4 linked regions of the Drosophila melanogaster genome follow. The protein of the gene in region 2 purifies or fractionates together with the protein of the main gene of each other region. This does not show direct contact. Each region holds a gene or a part of one and is shown on either strand. Other genes may lie near its edges. The genes, in order: Vamp7, Sbf, Rab35 and Pi3K68D.

Region 1 (3,853 bases), on a different chromosome or scaffold from region 2:
CGGTACAAGCGAAGGAGCAGATCAGCCAAGAACACGGTGGCTACAATGCGAATAGAGGTGTCTGCAACGAATCACGACCGTAAAGATAATTTATGGCGTCCATCGGTCATCACTCACCAATATAATCTCCTATCATCTTTCGAAAATAAAAATATTTTCTGCCTTTTTCCGCGCGAACCGCGTTCCCCGCTTCGACAACGTTGCTAGCGATTGCCATTTCGTCTGCATACATATGTACGTCTCAAGGGTTGCCAGATCGATTTGGAGATCTCGCGAAAACTTCGCTGGAATTTCAAATGCCGTTAAATTATATATAAATTTGTTTATTGGGCTTGCATAGGTATACATAACTGAATTTGGGCTCCTAAATATTAATTACATTGCGTGCACATACAAATGCACATATTTATGTATGACGGAAGCAATGAAGGAACTACATTGTTATATCTTTTTATTATTATTTACTTTTGTGTTTGTTTATCAGGTATCAGATAAGATTTTATCAATATAGCCTCAAAGATTCGTTAATCAATTTGTATTCGAAATAAAACTTTAGGTAACAATGTCCGGTTCCGACTATCAGATACATATACAGACATGAAATCTGCTGACTGTAAAGCTCTCCGCCCTCTGGAACAAATATTCGTGAGAGCCGGAGCCAGCTCTAGACTCCTCCCAAAAACGCATATTGTTATTCTAGTGTCTTTGGTAAGAGGGTATACTAGATTCGTTGAAAAGTAAGTAACAGGTAGAAGGAAGCGTTCCCGGCCATGTAAAGTATATATATTCTTAATCAAGATCAAAATAATAAAAAATAACAAAGATAATTAAACATTAACAATGGTTAACCAATTGGTGGTTAATTAACCATCAACAATGGTTAACCATTACGCTCTTACTCTGCAACTTAAATACTGATAGCTACACCCTAAACGAATTATAAGATTTGATAAATGATCTTATTTAAGCATGCTTATTGTGTTCTAATATTAAATTCTATAGAAACCTTATCCTGTAAAAGGCTCAAAAAAGTGCAATCGTGCCATATTTGTGGCCAGAATAAATGAGAATTCTAAGTCTTTTAAAATAAGTAATTTTAAATCGAATATTTCGGCAGCATATGCGCATATTGAAACTACGTATATTGTATCTTGCGTGTGTACATAGTTTAAGTTATTACCTGCGGTTTTTTCTGTCAAAACGAATGGATCCAGGCTCAAAGATCTCAGGAGCAAAAGCTTGGGAACGCTATTAATTTAAATTTACTTTAATGGAAAATTCTTTGTCCGGGGAGAAGAATCTCAACTGGATGAACTGATGCTCTCGTCAATACTGAAACGCTATCGGTGGGATGCCCCTATTTAAGTTGCGGAGATCATTTAATTTAATAAGCAAATGCAAATAATCATAAGACCGTATAACATAATTTGTAAAACACGTTATGCAGTGTGACCGTGCGATAAAGCCAGACTTATCGGCTCCATTAAATATCGATGCGTCGATGTACCGTCCTTCCACCTCTAATTTTATAACTGCATCGAAGCGTCAGCAATTGTTGTTATTTGTAATGCAAAAATCGAGCTAATTCCACGGTATTGTGATGTTTTTATTGTGTTCGGCAAAAGCAATTGAAAATCGATAATAACTTAAGCCGCTTACCACAAAATGTAAATCTGCAGTTGCGCTATCAACTCGAGGCGGATCTAATTGGATAAACAAAGCAAGTACTTTGATATAACAATTTGCATATTACACATATATACGTATGTTACTCATAAACAGAGTTATTGTTCAGATTGATAGGCTCGCAATTGGATAGTAGTAGTTTCTAAATCGATATGTACATTTCTCAGAATCCGAGAGCACGTCATCATTGACGGATCGTCGGCTCATTCCCCGATAAGCAAAACAAAGCAGTAGCCTGAGGAGCTGAACAACCGCGCCCTTAGCAAAGGAGAATCTGTGGCACCATGCCGATACTATATAGTGTGATATCGCGGGGCACCACAGTGCTGGCGAAGTTTGCGGAGTGCGTCGGCAACTTTGCCGAAGTGACGGAGCACATAATCGGACGGATCGGGGTGCATAACCACAAGATGACCTACACACACGGAGACTACCTGATCCACTACACCTGCGAGAACAAACTGGTCTACATGTGCATCACCGACAACGTGGGTGAACGAACCACTGGCCCAATTAGCCACCTCAGTTGCTTATTGCCCAATCGATAACGTATCGTTTCTTTGTAGGAGTTCGAACGGTCGCGGGCCTTCCTCTTCTTGGCGGATATCAAGCAGAAGTTTATCCAGACTTACGGCCTACAGGTGGCCACCGCCATCGCCTACTCCATGAACACCGAGTTCTCCAAGATCCTGGCCCAGCAGATGGTCTATTTCAGTCAGTCCCGGGAGGTGGACACCATTTCGCGAGTACATGGTCAGATTGACGAGCTTAAAGACATTATGGTTAAGAATATTGGTATGAAGGAAGGAAAATCCGTATGTTCTTTTTGTTTACTATTCCCTTTTCATCCCATTTGCAGACAGCTTGCGGGATCGCGGCGAGAAACTAGAGCTGCTCGTCAACAAGACCGAAAACTTGAGCAATAATGTAAGGTGATGCCAAGCAGAGACTTTTAAATGTGTTTTTCATTTGATCTCTCTTACAGTCCGTTGCATTCCGTAAGGCCTCCCGAAATTTGGCTCGTCAAATGTTTTGGAAGAACATCCGCGTCTACGTGGTGGTGGGTCTGGTGATAACCTTCATCGTTTACGTGATTGTGAGCATGGCCTGTGGTGGCCTCGCTTGGCAGTCCTGTGTTTAGGACAAGCTTTAAAGTTGTTTATATTGTTATAGGCTCATAACACATGTATATTTGCATATAAAACTCTACAGTACTCTCATCTATGTTCTATGTAATAAACTTCAATGTATACCGGATAAAGTGTTAGAAGAGATAATGGAATATTCACTTGTCCTCCACATACACGACGTCGTTGGCCTTCACCTTTCCCGGCAGCCGAAGTCCCATATGAACGCCCAGAGCCGGCGAACTGTAGTTGAACAAGCGATAGCTGTGGATTCCAGATATGAGGGTCGGGTTTTGTAAGTCGTACTTCTCAGATATTTCCATGGGTAGTGACTCACCTTCTGAGCGTTTTGAGAGGCTCTCCTTCGGAACTCCTCTCTGCGGTCTTCGCATTAATGTTGGTAAAAATACAGCGAGTGCATGGCGCCACCGTACGGAAAACAGCATCTTCGCCTATACGCACCCACTGCCAATTGTCCTCGGCATAGGGCTCATCAACATCCATTTTCAGTTCGAAGTTACCTCGGAACTGCAGTGCATCCACCGGATTCTTTAACCGAGTATTAAGATCGGCGACCGACGAAAGGTTCATCAGCATAAAGCTGGTGGCATCGTTAAAAGTGCCCTATGGAAAGAATTCAAATCAAGGGTGATCTGGGTCCTAACACTTCGAATTGCGCATCAGGAACATACCGAGTCCTCCTGTCTAATGAATGGCATGGACTTTAGGCGGGGATTGGTGCATCTCACTGGTTTCGGATAGGGATAGTGAACTAGCTTGAGGCCGCTCTCCTTCTTCAGGATGGCCTGGGAGAACCACGTGTTGATCCGATCTCCGCAGGGCATCACGTCTATGGAAACGCCCCAAACGGAAGTTTTCACATCCTTGCCAGGACCGTCCAGCTTCTCGAAGTCCAGCTCCAGGTCTGGCATGTCCTGGGCGCTGAACACAAGCTTGCTGGGCGACACCTTCTTCGACTTGATCTGGGTCATAAGCGGATACACCCGAGCCGTGATCATTTCGTTCTTTTCATTGACCAC
Region 2 (5,194 bases):
GCCAGCTCGGCTTTTTTCTCCTCCTCGATGTTGGGACTTTTGCGCAGCTGCTCGGCTGTAATTTCAAGCGCCGTGGGCTCCTCTAGAGGAACTTCGTCCAGCACACAGTTGGCCTCCTTTTGATGCTCGTTCTGACGTCGGTGAAGCAGATACAACGCCTTTATTTGACCTTGGACATCCTGAAAGAAAGTAGACTCCCAAAATTGCAGGTTTTTCCAGATGGCGTGATCCTGTATCTCTGTGTACGCAAATTGCACTACTCCAGTCGAGAGCTTACGGCAGAAGATTGTGGACATGGGCAGCAGAGCCGCAGCCACTGTGTACTCATCAATGCCGGATGATTTTTGCAGCGCCTTGTTCATGAATCGCACAACTAATTCAAACTGTTGATGGTCCAGAACTGCCTTGTTGCCGTGCACATATCCAAAGAACTCGCGGCACAAGATCAAGCGCGCATCCCGATGCATTAGGGTGCGCATCACAGCCGGCAGCAGTTTTCTGGCATCTGTAATTCGATTCTCAAAGATGTATGACACACAGATCCGCAGCACCTCCAGTCGCCTAGCCGAGTTTTGGACATTGGGACGCACATCTAATGCCTCGGGTAACCTGGGTCCCATCGGAATGATACGGTGCTGATTACGTGTTACATGAAAGCGTTGTGGCACTCCGTTCTTTCGTATCCCTTCCTGTATGATAAGCTCAACCTTTTCCGAACTTATGCGCGGAAAGGCTGGTTGATGAATACGCTGGAATGCGCCTTCCGGCGGACGCAGTACTTTTTGGGCATAGCTGATGTGAGCCAGAGTGCCCTCATTTTCATATAGAACTCGTCCCAATTCCTGGATATGTGTGAGTATCTGAAAGTAGGAAGGAAAGGTAAAATTAAAATATCCCTTGAATCTTTGAGTTCTACCTACGAGATTTCGATTCTGCGCCTCCGATTTGAGCAGTTCGTTCATTGAGCTGTAGAGCTCATCCCAGGCATCGGAGGATCGCCAGGGAGGGCCTCGTTCGTTGACAAACGTCGTGAAAAACATGCTGTCCAGCACCCTAAACAGGAATTCGCTCTCTATCAGATCGCGGGCGCCGAGAAATCCTGCCTTATGGAAGGTGATCACCGGCTTTGGGTGGATCCGAATGATAGTCAGGCAGGAGCGATATCCCTGCAGCAGCTGAGCGAAAAGGCGCATGAATATGGCGCGAAGTTCCTTATCAATCTGGGCGTCAGTCTTAGCAATAGCTGAAGGCCGCTCTAATGTGGGAAACGCCAGATCGGCCTGCGCCAGGTTTGGAAACAGGATCATGCTGAGCAGGTCCTGGGTCTGTTCCCACAGCGGTGATGGAAGAATAGGAACAGGCGGCGTCAGCGACTCGGGAATGGTAACGAGGCCGCCATCCAAATCCACCACAATAACATCCAGTAAATCCGTAATCTCAGTTTGCAGTGAGCTATGTATGCCCATAATAAATGGCGTAGGTGTGGATAACACTTCCGTGAGTGGAGCCGGCAGAATTGGTATATAAACATGAGTATACCGAAAGGGATACATCAATGCCACCAAAGCTCTGCAGCTGTCCGTCAGGTGCCAATAACACTTAGAAAGAAACAGTATCTTGTTCTCTGTCATCACGGAGCAAAGCAGTATCAGCACATTCTTGATGCCCAGCTGCTTGAAGAGGAAGTGGACTCCACTTCCAGTCGTGGGCAGGGAGGAGCTCTGCGGAGGCTGGAGCGACTGCTTGTCTCCTGCTCCTATAGAGAAGCGCACCTGCGGTCCACCCGCTGGAGGAACTTGGATGCAGCCCAGAATGTTTCCTATGAGTGTCTCCAATCCATACGCCAGGTTCTCAATGTACACCGTGTATATGGTGCCGAGACAATTCTGTAAATTAAGATAATGGCTTAATTTAGTATCTTAGGTGGTCTGACTTTTAAACTCACTTTAAAGGTCTCGGCACAGTCCAAACGCGATATAAGCACCAGACACTTTGGTGCATACATGACGCTGTGGTGCGTAATGGAAGCCGGCGTGGATGTCGTTGTGATGCCATCCATCGATGAGGGTGTGGCTCCCAGCAGCCTGCTGCTGCCGATGGTCTCATCCTCGTCGTCGACGCTGCGCGTCTGTGTGATGGCCACCGTCTCATGAAAGCTGAGGCAGGCGCAGTAGTGCTTGTTGGCATCGATGTCCGTCAGCACAGAGACGAAGAACTTGGGCTCCTGCTTCTCGTACGATAAACTCCAGCCGAGCGGCTGGCAGAACTGTCGGAATGATAAGTTAAAATTCAGATATGCTTCGAATTAAGTGAGGAATGTTTCAAGCGCACCCACCCATTCAATGCCCTCGATAAACGGAGTGTCCGGCCAATCTTTCTCGGGAAAGCGCTGAACGATCTTGCCGCACGTCGGCTGGCCGCCCACATTGCTGGCAGTTTCTGGGAAAAGGGAAATTGTTGAATGTCAGAGAATTGCTAATTATGGCTGATGGGCATGTGGATGTACTCACTCTCCTTATCACTGTCGTAGCCGACTATTACGAAGTAATCAGCGAGCCGGGACATCTTGCCCACCACATAGCCGGCCAGTCGTCTAGGATCCTACGGCTCTTTACTAGCCAAATCTAGGAGAACAAAGAGTTGAAGATGTTTTATTTTGATTTTTTTTTTGTTTTTGTTCTGTTGCGTTCTTGTAGCAGGGGACAGCGGCAGATGGATTCTATTCGCCAGTGCCGTCATCCAATTTGATATGCTAATTAGGCTCCGTCTCTGCGCTCGGCATAAATGATTAGCTCCACGGAGATCGAGGGGCCGAATTGTTATTGTATTGTCTATAGCGCCCGGAGGCGTTTTTCAGGCTTTACGAGTCTTGGTCTTCACTCTTTTTTCTTTAACCACACCCCGCCACGCAAAGTGGGATCGTTCGCCGGGAATCGGACTGGCCAATCTATATATATATATCCGCGCACACACCTCGCAGCCGGCTGCAGCCGAAATCCCCGCTAACTGCCAGCAAATCTCAAAGAATTCGGGGCTATAATAATTATTTTTAAGTTCGCATAGAAAAAGATAGATGCAATACACAATAATTTTCACGAATTATCCAACACTTTCTGCATCAGCTGATTGAATGTGTCGATATTTGATTGGCGCTTTGAATGTATCGATAGTTTCGGACTGCGCTACAAATTAATCGGCGCGAACTTAAAAGATCAATTGGAAAATGGCAAAATTAATTTCCACTTAGCCTTAAATATTCATTAAACAATTTTGGGGAAATTATAATATAATTAATCTGTTGGAAAAATAGGAAACTTGTATACTACATTAATACTCCCCAGTATATAAATAAAAATCAAACGCAGCCTTCGTTGGTGACTTGATTTTCTTTTCAACTTAAATATAAATCACGATATTTTTCACATTATGAACTAACGAGATATAAATACATAATAACATTGATGACTAACTCGTGTAAGACGTAACTTAAGATAGATGTGTTTAGCTGATCTTTACAAACATATTACGTATACGTATCGTATTAACTATTATGATGGCCGATCATCTTGTTTCAAGCATGATTTCCGTTTTCTGTGTTACTTTTGTCCGCCGATGGACTTTGCTTAGATTCCTGTGGCGGCATGGTGAGCGATACAGTGCCCTTATCCGTGTGCTTTATGTGCTCCATTTCAATGTCCGAACAGTTCTCGGAATTGGATAGTGCCGAGTCCATGGAGGTGACGGTCATGTCCACGGCCTTATCACTAGAGTTCGTCGACAGCAGAGGTTTCTCCACCGCCGGCTTCTCATCCGCATCCTCATCCCGTGTGGGGGGCACGAAACTATTGCTATTAATGTCCTCGATGGCTTTTCGCAACTGTTTAATAAAACATGTGTTATTGTTATAATCATCAAGGATATCAAACAAGACTTACTTCTTTGAGTCCCACGACACCAACAAGTCTTCCGATTTTGGTGACATAGGCGTGGTTAATACCCACCATGGAAAACAACGAGTGAACCTTGAGTATGGAGGTGCGTTCCACCAGCTGAAATGGCGAGGGATCGATGTGGACATTGGCCTTCTGCAAATCGATGGGCTTCAACATTTCCTCGAGCTCCCATTGCTTCTGATCCTCCGGTGACATGTCAATAACACGTTCCCTGGGCTGTAAATCAATCAAATCGGTAGATATTATATCTTGATTGAAATAAGGGGTTATGTAATTAAAATATTCTAAACGTACCAATCGCACCGACTTCGGCTTTTGAATGCTCTTATTTGGGATTTACAAGATAGGAGAGAAAATGTGTATGTTAACTTTGAGAGTTAATGATTCATAATGCGTTGTAAGCTCGTTGACAATAGATATTAATCAAAAGTTTGCATCAGTTTTACATACCTCAGCCAGCGATTCTGGATTTGTTGTTTCATCCACATCCTCTATAGAGTAACCCAATACATTTTCTGGTTTTATTTTACATTTCGTTCGAGTGGGCGAACCATTTACTCCAACTTCGTTAGCAAACCTTATTTTCGAGCACCTCTTGGCCGTCTGAGGAGATCTATTTACATCTGCCACTTTATTTGCTTTGAATTTAATGCTCGGTGATTGCTTTGAACTATCTCCATTATTTGATAATGCTTTATCCGTGAAATCTTTCTCGGCAGGCTTTTTAAACATTAATCTTGAGATTACAAAATTATGTATAGATAGATATTTTAAACTGGCAATACTCTACTTCAATCTTCCACTGAAATTATTAAGTATTTCTTCTACTTCAAAAAGGCCCATAGTACTACTTCATGCGTGGATACTACCCTTATTTTATAATTTTACTTCGTTTTAAGGCTTACCATTTTATTTGATTCCGTTGAAATAGGGTTTACTTGCTTGCAGATATTAAAGTAAGTTAAACACACATATTCCGAGAAAATGAATGAAATGATATGATATGAATGTTGTTAGTGAGTAACTTACCAGCATAATTTGATCTGTTACAAAATCCCAATTACTTTGTGCAGGCTTGAAAAGAGAGATTTCCTCTTCCGGTTTACTCAGCAACTTAGATAACCCAAAACCCAATTTTTATGCGGTAAATAGAAAATATGCACCTACCAGCTGAACCTTTTTGGAAACACCGGGAGTGCTAGGAGTTCGCGGCACCTCCACCTCGTGGTTGCTTGCCGCCG
Region 3 (6,589 bases), on a different chromosome or scaffold from region 2:
AGGCCCACCTGGCTGTCTGCCGCTGTCCACAGGGACAGTCGGGCGACGCCCTGGTGTCCTGTCGCCAGACGCGCACCTTTCCCGTGGCCAAGTACCACTGAGGCGGGATGGGGAGTCGTATAGTCCCGGAGCCGCACTGCCTGCCAAACCAGTCACCATCCGCCCAGCCAATCCCCATCCCAATCCGCACCAATCCGCATCTGCCCACTTCCCGTACTAGTCGTTGCCCTAACCTCGTGCTCTCCCCAACAGAAGCGATAAAAAATGCGTTGAAAAACAATAAATAATACAAGTAAATAATAATCATAAACAATGTGCTATTTTTCTGGGATCCGTAAAGTCACAAACAACTGAATACATCATAAAAAAGTTAAACAAATTGTTTTCAAATACTGCAGAAGGGAAAAAATTCCATTTTAAAGATATAAAGATTATATTACTGATTGTCTTAGTACCGAAATCCAACCCAAAATCTTAACGGCTAAATGCAAAAGACCAAACATTTTAGAAAATCAAATTGCCTTCTTTATTTTGATCGATAAATATATACATCTATATATATAGATATATATATACATTTATATAAATATATAGTTTTCTTTTGGTTGGTATGAAATATAGGTTTCATATTCGAGAATAGTATTTAACTATGAGTTTGCCTCACTTTCTGAAAGCTTTTTTCAGCCCAAACCACAACTAGGTAATTCATTTTGGTATTCAAACGCAATAACATAGTCTTTGAATTTTGGGTATAGCTCAAGGTTTACATATAAATAAATATATACTGGAACCGAAATCGATTATTGTGGTATTTAAAATAAATCTATGAATCGAATGGTTTTTTAAGCAGAATAAATATGGTTACCACAAAGCGAACCCATATGTACATTGTGAACATATAAATATAAATTCTAGTGCGCTTCGTTACTACGTTATTCACTCGTTTCATAGAGTCGCCGAAGAGTATGCAACTACTTTTAGAAGCTAACAAAAATTGTAAAATCGGGAAAGTTTACCAAAAATAACGAACGTGCTTGCAGTGCGATTTGGTGCGTTTTTAACTTAGATACAATACAAATGTAGCGATGTATTAAATGCATTTGTGGCATAAAAGAATGCCACAAAATGTTGATTGCCAATCATATCTTATTTAATTTTAAATCAGCAATGCCTAAGGACTTAAATGAAAAGTGGCTACATTTTGGACATATTCAACATAGCTATGGATTAAAAACATGGTTTTGAATTACAGTCCGAGCGCAAGTAATCGTGTTTTTCCAAAGATCAATCTTTATTCTTTCTGAGGGTACATATGTAATGTATGTATATAATATCAGAGAATTGGAGTATTGGTTCCCCGGTTTTCGAATAGATACAAACATTACCTACAACTATTTCTCTTCAGAAAATTTGCATTGGAAATCATATTGGCTGACAGTTTCAGGTTTTTCATTTTAAGCAAGCACATCCAAAAGAATTGGAAACAGTCCCTGAAGTTCTTTAGTTTATCCAGTTAAATCAATCACGGAATGGCGGCAATAATATCAAATGAAATCTTAACAAGTAAGGCAGTTTCCGAGAGCAACGAAATGTTTAAAAGCATCACTCCAAGCAAATAAAATTTCAGATTCATTCAAAACGTGTCTTTCGCGATTGATAGTCGGCAGATCAGAGCTTTCGTTTTTAAATTTTAAACTATGGGAGTATTAAAAGTGGAGAGTCGCGATCGGAAGCCAATAATTTGATCTCCCCACATATGTATATCTATGTATATATATTTATATATTTCTATAAATGTGTTTCGTAGCTTAGCTAGCGAGCGAGGCGTTTGCGTCCTCGTGCCTTTTCCTGCGGTCGCTCTTGTTATTGTAAATACAATTTTCCGTTTGAAATATAAATATATTCTTGTATATAAATATGCAATTTGTTTCAATTTTGTTTATGTATGTATATATTAATATGTATATAAATTGCTAAATACATTTAATTGCGCTTTACACTTTTACACTTTAATTTACGGCTATCTGGCATTATTCCGAATAAAACTGAGGAGGAAAAAAAAAAACAAAACAAAAAAAATTGTTGTCTCTAGTGGGTGTGAGTGTTGTTCAGTTGTCTCGTGTTGTTTGCTTTGTGTGGTTTCTTGTTGTTGGTTGTTTGGTGGTGTTAGCTATGTCTATGTGAGTGAGTGTCTGTGTCGAATCGTAAGCCAAGAACCCTACAAACTACGCGCCCCCACAACGATTCCGTCCGCCCCCGAAGTTGATCCAGGTCCTGGTCCTAATTTCAGTTCCAATTCCCGTCCCGCCGCCGCCGCCGCCGCCGCCGTCGCCGTCGGTCCAGTTGCAATGCCAGCTCCCGTGCCGGAGCCGCTTTCACCTGCAGCACTTCCCACCCTTGCTGCCCTTGGGATTGGGCTTCAGATGGAGCGTGTCCTTCTGCTGCTCGTTGGGGGAGGTGCGCAGCTTGTGATCGAGCACCTGTCGCGTAATCGACAAGAACATGTTCTCCACGTTTATGTTGTCTTTGGCAGATGTCTCGAATAGCTCGATGTCCATTTGTTTCGCAAACCGCTGCGCGTCTTCGGTAATGACCACCTTCCTGTCCGGATCGTCGTTCTTGTTGCCCACTGTTGAGGAATCGAAACATGAGTCTATATCGATAATGTAAGTTGTCTACTAATTAAGCTCCGCTTGGCATAGCCAACAACTACTTCTCAGTACGGGTCAACCAATTCTGTGCGTAATACGATATAGGCTCACCTAATACTTTTTTAACCACATCGCAGTTATTCTGGATCTCCTCCAGCCAGCGGCGGACGTTCGCAAAGGATTCGCCGTTCGTGACGTCGTAGACGACAATGACGCCGTGGGTGCCGCGGTAGTAGGTGCTGGTGATTGTCCGGAAGCGCTCCTGCCCGGCCGTGTCCCAGATCTGCAGCTTTACGCGCATGCCCTCGATGTCCACGGTGCGGATCTTAAAGTCCACGCCGATGGTGGTGATGTAACTGCCTGAGAATGTGTCGTCCGAGAACCGGATGAGCAGCGACGACTTGCCCACGCCTGCAGGGGATCAGATGGAAAGATGGAATGGGATTCGTATTACAAAAATGTGATATCGTTACTACACACAAGTAAGCCCATTCGGCATATGACATTGCTGTGGAGCGGGGAGTGTTCTCCTGCTCCGGTTACCGCCGCAGCTGGTCTGCTCGCATATCAAGCTGTATATCCTGCCAGTGCGTCACCATTAGTCATGAGCCTGGTTTTGCCCGAGCCAGACCACCTTTCTCGAAATACGCCCAAATGAATATGTAGATAGCTACGTTAGGAGGAGGACAGGACTGATATAAAGTGCTTTTGCATTTATGATTAAATATATAAAATTAGTACAACCTAACACATGTTGAGTATGCCAAAAACATTGAGTATAGAAACAAGAAGCTGACGAATGTTGAAAGTATTATGGAAACTGAAAACAACATTACTCATACGCCATGTTGGCGTTAGCATTTTAAATGTAACATACATTAATGGTAATCAGATGCAGTAATGCGAAAGGGAGGTGGAGACAACTGCGTTTTTGGCCAGGAAACGGGGACAAATTGCAATTTACACCTGCTATTTTCAACTCGATGCTATTTTTAAGCACCTGGTCTGTGGGAAACGGGAATGCCTGGGAAACTCACCGCTATCGCCGATTATTAGCAACTTGAATAGATGATCGAAGCCGCGTGCCATTTTTCGACGTTTTTTCGCTGTTTTTCTGTGTTTTTCCTTGTTTTTGCAAGTGCTTTTATATTTACAGTTAGGCGCGTCGAACAATGCAAAATATACTTTTGTTTTCTTTTTTTCTGCTGCCTGCTCCCACACTCACACACACAGGAGCACACTCCCTGCGCTTACTCTCTCTCTCTCTCTCTTTCGCACTCTCTCGGAAGCGCCCTCTCTTTCGCCCCAAGCTACGACCCTCTCGCTCGCACTGGTGCAGCCGGCTGAATATCTGAGATAAGCTGTTGTTCTTTCTGGCTGCTGGTCTGTTGTTGTTGTTGTTTTTGCTGCTGTTGCTGATGTTTTTGTTGCTGTGTGATAAGCTATAGTTATTAGTGTTGTTGCGTTGCGAGTTAATTTATGTAAGTGTTGTTGCCGCCGCCTTGTTATTTAATTTCCTTTGATTAGGTAGGTGTGTTTCTCTTTTTTTGGCTCCACTGGTACAATTGTTGCTTTTGCTTTAACAGCGGATTTGCGAAGAGAAATCGAGCGGCAGGCTCATTTCCATCAGATCCAATGGCTTGCTGGCGGATAAGACGGCGATTTGGTGCCGAAAATATTTCAATATAGGCTGGCAAATTTTCGCAAAGCTCGACTCCCTCGCAATCGTGCGTCTCGCTCTCTCCAACACTGTAGCACAGACACAACACACGAACACATACGCACGCACGCACACACACACAGGAGTGAAGCTCTGGCTGACTGTTGAATTTATATTGGGCTTCTCGGCGGTCTCGAACTTTCCAGCTTCCGGGTTGCTCTTGCAGCGCTGAAAGGACGACGATTTGTGGGAATTTGTGGGCGTCGGCGTTGCGGATTAATTCTGGTTAATTCATATTCTGGATAAACTATTGCTAACGCACCCACACTAGAGACGGAACCAAATGCGATGTTTATGCTATCGATAGTTTAGGATAGATAGTACCCCACAAACATCGATTCATTTAGCCGGAGCATAAAGTCGAATTTTTCTGTAACTAAATATGCAATGTGCCCACTCAAAAAATTAAATTAGTTTAATAAATTAATACTGGCAATTTTTTTTAATATCAATATGTATCGATATATTTAGAGAACATTATCGCAAGTGTTGCCGTTTAGCGGGTTGCTAACGTTGCCACCTGTGCATAAACTTTTGGCCATATCCAGCACTTATTTATTATGAATGGCGCGATTTTTAAAAAATCTTCAAATAATCACTTATAAAGCCCATATTATATTAATACCAAAAAAAAAACTAAATATTATATACTTTCATACCGATTTGTAGCGGGTATTAACTAGAAGCAAAACGCTATACTCTTAATGAAAGTGAGTATTCGTAGTTTACAACTTTTGAGAAGTTTTTTCAACATCCAAATAAAATCATTCTAACTTATTTTTCAAATATTTTAATTTTATTTATTTCATTTTAGCGTTCAGATACTGGGATTCTTGATACAGATACTGGATTCAGGGATTCTTAGATCGCTAGTCAAAAAAATGTAATGCTTAGAGTAATTGAAATAATGTAGGCACTGCGAGCTGCTGAAAAGAAAGTCAGATGGGGAAAATAATGTCTACAGCTACTTAAAGTAAATATGTATACAAGTTATTTATACGTGTGGAAAGGAGCACTTACTTAGCTTACTTAACAAAGCAAATAAATGGTAAATGCATCTTATTAGCGAATACCGCTAGGAGAACAGGATTTTAATGGAATTTTATATGTACAAAAGGCGGAAAATAGAGAATAACGGGTGCGAACCAAACGCACGCATTTGGTCCACAACCTAGTCGATGTGATGGTTAATGGAATGTGCAAGTGTTATGTATCGTGATGTTGTCATCTGTTCTCCTAGTCCCTGCGGGTATCCTGCCCACTCAGGATATATCCATATTGATCTTGCCGTGTACATGGATTTGTGCGAGTGTGATCTATTGTAATGTCATCTGTTCTCCTAATCCTTGCGGCTGGCCATGTGGTTGGACAAGCGGTGGCGGGTCCTATTGGCCACACAGGATATATCCATGTTGGCGAGTGAGGAAGGCCTGTTGGCCAAAGTGCGGCGACGTAAGACACGTGGAGCAGGAGTGCTCGGCTCCGGCGAGATGGAGCCCAACAGACGCCTGCCATTCGACGGCGCAGCGGCAGTGGGCGTAAGTTGGCGCCTCTTCGACTCATATTCATCACTATCATATTCATCACTATCGTCATCGCTATCCGACACGTGTCTAGGCGGCGAGACGTATCTAGGGCGCCAGGGACGACGTCCATTCGATGTGGACGGCTCAGTGTTTTCTTGGTTATCAAGTGTCGATGCGGATGTGGATGTGGATGTGGATGTGGATGATGTCGCAGTTGCAGTAGCAGAGCGAAACGAGGTTACTACACTTGAGAGAAATGTTGTTTGCGTTCCCTGTGATTCAAATGTGCGAGTTCCACGATCGGCTAAAGCGCGTGCCCCCGCAGAAGTAGATGGTTGATCATCGGAGAGGGTCACCACGCGACTCTGCACTTTGGTATCGAACGCACGCTGAAAGACGGCATCATCGTCGGAGGAGCCGAAATCATCCCAATGGGAGGGTGATAGCTTCTCTTGAATCTGATCACCATTTAGGTGACCTGGACGTGGGGCTTCGGCCGAGTCGTCCATTGAGCCGGCGTCATCCGAGTCCGATTCGGCAACGGGCACTGCCTCCGGGCTGACGGCTGAGCAAACCTTGCAGACGTAGTTTTGGAGAGTCTTCAACGTGCAAAGGTAATGTGACGGATTGGCGCCACATGAGGTGCAGTACAGCAGCATGGCGGAAGTGTCGGCGCGACCAGAGACCGCAAC
Region 4 (5,174 bases), on a different chromosome or scaffold from region 2:
TAAAAGGCCAGCAGGAGCGGATCAACATGCACCTCCAGCTGATGATGTCGCAGCCAGTGCGTGTACAGGATGTGGTGTCCACACCGCCGCTCGTGGAGAAACCGGAACCGGAACCGGAAAGGAAGGAGCACCACAAGGCGACCAGTCAGGAACAGGAGCATTTGCTTCTGCTAGAAATGGATGCCAAACGCAATCTGCTGGAGAAACAGCGACTCGATGAGCTGGTGGCCAACATGAAGGTCAACTATGAGCAGGAGATCGAAATGATAGATTCTTCATATAAGTAAGTTTTAACCAGCTGCTGAAATAATAATGCAAATGAGTAAGAGAATTTAATTTTATGTCCAGAAAACAAATCAAGGTGCTGGAGGAGCACTTGTCCGTCGTAGAGAAACGACTCAAGGACGAGAATAGCGAGTTACGGCAGTACTACATCGAAAAACTGGAGAAGCAGAAGGAGGACTATGTGGAGCAGATTTCCAGCCTGCGACAAGATCATGAGGATGAGGTGCGCAAGCTGCGTCAATCCCACGAGCTGGACCTCGAGGGTATTCGTCAGGCTAAAATGGTGGAGTTGTCGGCGGTGCAGGATCATGGAAATTATCTGGACACATTGCGTCTGGCGTCCAGCAATCTTCAAGAACTTCGTGACGGGATGAGTGACAACCAGGAAAGGGAACGGCAGTTGGAGGCGCGAGAACGTCGCCTGGCCGACCAGGAAAGGCGTCTAAAGATGGACGAGGAGACGGCCGACGATGAGAAGCGCCGCCTGATGGAACTGGTGAGCACCTTGGAGCTGCAGCTGGGCCGTTTGTCCAAGGAGTCAGCCGAAGAGAACTGGCAGCTCCGTCAACGAATGTCCAGCTTGGAAGCGGAGCGCAAGGCTTTCGAGCGCGAAAAAGAATTCCATCGCGAGCAAATGCAGCGGGACGAGAAGCGTGTGGAGGATCTTAAAGCACTGCAGCTTGCGGAAATGGAACGACTGCACCACGATCTCCAGGAGGAGCGCAATCAACTGACAGTGGAACGCCAGCAGATTGAACTAAGACAACAGCTCAATGAGCACGGCGACCCAGACAGAGATCGCCGGGAACTGGAGGCCCAACTGCAGGTGGCACGCGAAGCCATTCGGCGGGCGGATGAGGAGCGGGATCGCTACCACAAGCTGCAGCGCGAAATGGAGCAGCGCAAGCGCCATCTTCTGGATAAGGAGCACGCCCTAAATCTCAAGGAGGACGAACTGGGCCAAGCCACCGGCGCCTACCGCCTAGCCACTAGTCGCCAACACTTGGCCGAGCAGAAGGCTAGGGAGGCGGACCAGCTGCTCCAGGCCAAGCTTAAGGTCATGGCCAAGCGGGCCCAGGAAATCGCGGAAAAGGAGGCACAGCTGGCCCACGAACGAATGCTGGTGGCGCAGGATCGTATGGCTTTGGTCAATCTGAAGAAGCAGATTTCTCGCAGCAGGTGTGCAATCTGCAAAATGGGTGCGGAATCGGCGGAAATCGCCCAGCGAAGGGCAAATGTAAATCCCACAGCAGCCACCGATCTTCAACTGCCTCAAGTGACACCCAGTCATGCGGAGCTGCTGCTTAAAATGTCCCAGGAACCGGGACAGGTCCAGAGTGACATTGTGGATCGAATGCTGGACGAAAACATCGAAGCCTCCTACCGCAGGATGTACAATGCGCCCCCCAGTAGTTCAATCGATGATCCCGACTATCTATTGACGTTAGCTGGTGGGCTGGACGACGACTCCAAGGTGGCCATGGATCACGGCCTGAATGTGGACGAAGCATTTATGTAGATATTGTGGAAAAATTTGTGGAAGCACAAATAATAACAACTGAGATAAATAAATGTATTACTTGGCAATTAGTATAAGTTTTATAAACAAACTATGAAGATACAAGATTACATATCGCTCGAAAGTTAAGTATTTTGTTATTCGTTAGAAACTCAATAAATTTGAATTGATGGAGTGAAACCCGGCTACATGATTAGCCAATACTCAAACATCTGTTCGATGTATCTTTCATCGATAGTTGCCAAACAATATCGATTCGTTTACCATCGCTACTGCTTGTTGCATTCCGTTTTGTGTTATTTCGTGCTGTTCGTGTTTAAAGTTCTTGCGCACAAGATAATTGTTTTTTTTTTATTGTAAATTAACTGATTTGTACATAATATGTGATGGTGCAAGAAAATCTAAGAAAATAACGTTTTGTTCAGTATTTTGGTGTTGCGTCTATTCCGTTTTTTGTCACTGTTTTCTGTTCGTGTTTGTGTATGGTCGTTTCGCATGTATGTGTGTAGGTGTTTAGGTGTGTAGGAGGATAAAACAACTCTCCTAAAAACAAAAAAAAAACCTTTGGTTAAGTTTAAATTAATTGTGATTCGTCAAATATAACAACAACCGAGGATAAAAGTGTAAAACTATTAACCGGATGGTCTATGTTCGTAGCCCCGTCAAGGGAAAACCTCAACCAAAAAGAGACTAGCAACGGGTGTAAAAAGCAGCGGAGGTGACACCTCAAAAAGCAAGTAAGTTGGCAATATGCGGATGAGAATCACAAAGCAGAAGTCAAGTCTGCATATTAATGACTATCTCCATTATTATTTTCTTTCGCCCTTCCACCGATATTCGTTTTTTTTAAATTTTATTCTTACGTTCTCCGGAATAAATTGGCATTCAATTGGGTTCATTTATTGTTTATGAATATTGTTTTTAAAAATTTTTTCGCAATCTATTGATTTACCTTAACCTTTGCCGCACGGAACCCTCTCTTTTGCTCTCTCTTCCTCGCTTCCTATTCCTAGCCGGTTCGCATTTTCTTATCTTCCATTCCGTCCCCGTTCGCGACACGGACTCACACACACACTAGTGCTTTTGTGGGTGTGTTTATATTAAACAGCTGTTTCCTATCTGCATACGAGATTGGCTTCAATGGGGAAAAAATCAAAACGCTTACATGCTGACATATATATATACGTTTATATTGCATATATTCGTATATATGTGTAAAATCTGGGAAATCAGTACTCGCAGCATTCATTCACGCAAATTGATGCCGCCGCTTTTGTTTGTTTTTATATATTTATTTACAATCGCGCACTCAATTGCGCCTTTTTGCGCCACTCTGCTGTATCGCAATCGCAAATTTGGAGCGCTTGGATATGGTTTCTATGTGCAAAGTACACAAGTATTTACCACATTTGTATGTACAAACAATAAGATAAAATGTTTTGCTGATGTTTGTACCGAATGTCGAAACTCTGCTAATCATACTTAATATCATGCTTGCATAATGATGTTCGAACTTTTCTATTAGAAGTTGATATTTTTTAAAATATAAAATTAATTCCTGTCCCTGCCCTGGCTATCACAAATCCTTGTAATTACGTTTTAAATGCAGTTGTCATATCCTTTTAACCATTTCGAAGCTTACAAATCTAATAAAGCGATCAATCTGTTCTCCCCTATTTTCTGAATTTCTGAATCATTGGTGCCCGCTAATGACGGCTCATTATCGATCGCGAATATTCCTTTGCAACTTAAAAAAAAAAAACTAGTGATAGGCACCCCCACTCTGTCGCAAGTGGTCTTCCCCCCATCGAATGCTATCTCACCTGTTCTTCGTCCAGGTACTCATATAGTACCATTGCCATTTACACTGCATAATCACTTTTATCACCGCCTGTTCGTTATCGCAGAGATAAGCAATCCCAAAAGCAAACACCTTTGTTCAACAACAAATAGGCATTGGAAGAGAAAATACGAAAATAATTTTAACAAAATTTGGAAATCGCTCACATTTTGTTCTGGTTCCCATTCGCAGCTCAACGGACCGGACGCTTTAGACGAGGGGATAATGTCAAATCAAGCGCATATCGACTACGACAAACAATTCCAGGATGACCTGGCCAAGGCGACCGCCCTGAGTCTAGAGCAGCATGCCCTCGATGACTACAGGCGAAACAAGAAGTACGGCTCCGGGTATCAGCAAAGCTCCACCGTTGCTGGCCGAGATTACCAGGCGGCGCAACGTAGTCAGAGCCTACATCAACCACGACGGCACTCGGAGGTGCATCAGGTGGCCATCAGTCCGGAGAATGCGGAACGATCGCGCACACCGCCGGCCCAGGGAACGGATAACGATCTGATCTGCTTCGCAAGTCCCACCAGCAAGCAGCCAGAGAGTAGCAGTCCCTTTGGCAAACTTATAGAGGATCTGCAGCGGATGCAGCCGACCAATCCGCAGTCGGCCCTGGTGCCAATGGGTCCAGTTGCGTCGGCTTCGATTCCTCCTCAATACGGCTTTCCACCTCATCAGCAACGTCCAACGGCTGCTCAGCCCACACCGTACGGCATGGTTGCAGGTGGAGTTGTTGGTGGACCGGCTTACGGTGACCTGCAGTTGGTGCCTTACCAACCAGCTGCTCAGCAACAGAGGCCACTAAACAGCGAGGAGCTGCAGCGGCTGTACAGCATGCCCGCTCAAATGGCCGTGGTTCCAGTGCCGCAGCCAAACGCCTATATGTACTATCCCGGAGCTGTGGTTACTCCATACACGGCTCCCATTGTTCCCGGATCGGCTGCTTTTATGCCGCCGCAGTATCCCGCACAGGGATATGGCTTTGGAGGTGCTTACACGCACATGGATTTGCGTCGACCCCAATCGCAACCAGCTCCCCAACAAACAGCACCGACAACAAGTCATCATCACAGCCAACCGTCCAACCATTCCACTTCCTCCCCCGCAGAGGCCAATGGAGTAGCCTTCCCAGCGCGTCGCCAAGTGCCCTCGACTGTCGGGGTTAGCTCTAGTAGCCACACTGGAAACAATGGTCATTCCTCGGTCCCACGCAGGGGCAACGATTTGATCGACCTCAACCACGAGGACTAGTATGTATCCACTAGTGTTCAGAAATGATTAGTTCGTGTTTTTAACATTCAAACATCCTGCTTTGCAGCTCCCGTGTGAGTGTGCTGGAGGCATTCGATCCCCTGCTAAACGACAATACTGGTAAGCAGCCTCAATGTTGTAATTAACGTGTAGCTCCCGGTCCTCGTTGAAATCCCCCCACATTTTTCGCACCGTAAACTAAACTTGAAATACAGTCGAAAACTCGTGTGTTGCGATTTTTGGCCAGAGCATTCATTTGAGCTGCAAATA

Evidence for each region.
Region 1: the proteins of Sbf (region 2) and Vamp7 purify together in Drosophila melanogaster (affinity purification with western blotting, with the first as the bait; one study listed by BioGRID). This does not show direct contact.
Region 3: the proteins of Sbf (region 2) and Rab35 purify together in Drosophila melanogaster (affinity purification with western blotting; 2 studies listed by BioGRID, with this or other methods). This does not show direct contact.
Region 4: the proteins of Sbf (region 2) and Pi3K68D purify together in Drosophila melanogaster (affinity purification with western blotting; one study listed by BioGRID). This does not show direct contact.

Annotation. Positions count from the first base shown.
Region 1 is NT_033778.4:9,840,168-9,844,020, reverse strand, and holds Vamp7 (Vesicle-associated membrane protein 7), read left to right. Parts: upstream 1-1,518; 5' UTR 1,519-1,720; intron 1,721-1,795; exon of another isoform or gene 1,796-1,853; 5' UTR 1,854-1,970; coding exon 1,971-2,174; intron 2,175-2,252; coding exon 2,253-2,481; intron 2,482-2,545; coding exon 2,546-2,613; intron 2,614-2,671; coding exon 2,672-2,827; 3' UTR 2,828-2,941; downstream 2,942-3,853. Other genes in the region: sting, read right to left, coding at 1-61, 118-217; Marc (mitochondrial amidoxime reducing component), read right to left, coding at 2,972-3,077, 3,151-3,437, 3,506-3,853.
Region 2 is NT_033777.3:11,793,871-11,799,064, forward strand, and holds the start of Sbf (SET domain binding factor), read right to left. Parts: upstream 3,079-5,194; 5' UTR 2,974-3,078; intron 2,625-2,973; 5' UTR 2,566-2,624; coding exon 2,511-2,565; intron 2,440-2,510; coding exon 2,336-2,439; intron 2,267-2,335; coding exon 1,946-2,266; intron 1,887-1,945; coding exon 1-1,886. Other genes in the region: ClC-a (chloride channel-a), read right to left, coding at 3,572-3,877, 3,936-4,169, 4,248-4,277, 4,404-4,673, 4,859-4,894, 4,983-5,027, 5,121-5,194.
Region 3 is NC_004354.4:20,155,208-20,161,796, forward strand, and holds Rab35 (Rab35), read right to left. Parts: upstream 4,666-6,589; 5' UTR 3,741-4,665; coding exon 3,689-3,740; intron 3,322-3,688; exon of another isoform or gene 3,151-3,321; coding exon of another isoform or gene 3,132-3,150; intron 3,063-3,131; coding exon 2,763-3,062; intron 2,630-2,762; coding exon 2,376-2,629; 3' UTR 559-2,375; downstream 1-558. Other genes in the region: aspr (asperous), read left to right, coding at 1-101; Phf7 (PHD finger protein 7), read right to left, coding at 5,711-6,589.
Region 4 is NT_037436.4:11,786,908-11,792,081, reverse strand, and holds the start of Pi3K68D (phosphatidylinositol 3-kinase 68D), read left to right. Parts: upstream 1-2,068; 5' UTR 2,069-2,160; exon of another isoform or gene 2,161-2,461; 5' UTR 2,462-2,541; intron 2,542-3,836; 5' UTR 3,837-3,869; coding exon 3,870-4,903; intron 4,904-4,971; coding exon 4,972-5,024; intron 5,025-5,174. Other genes in the region: twy (twitchy), read left to right, coding at 1-283, 349-1,804.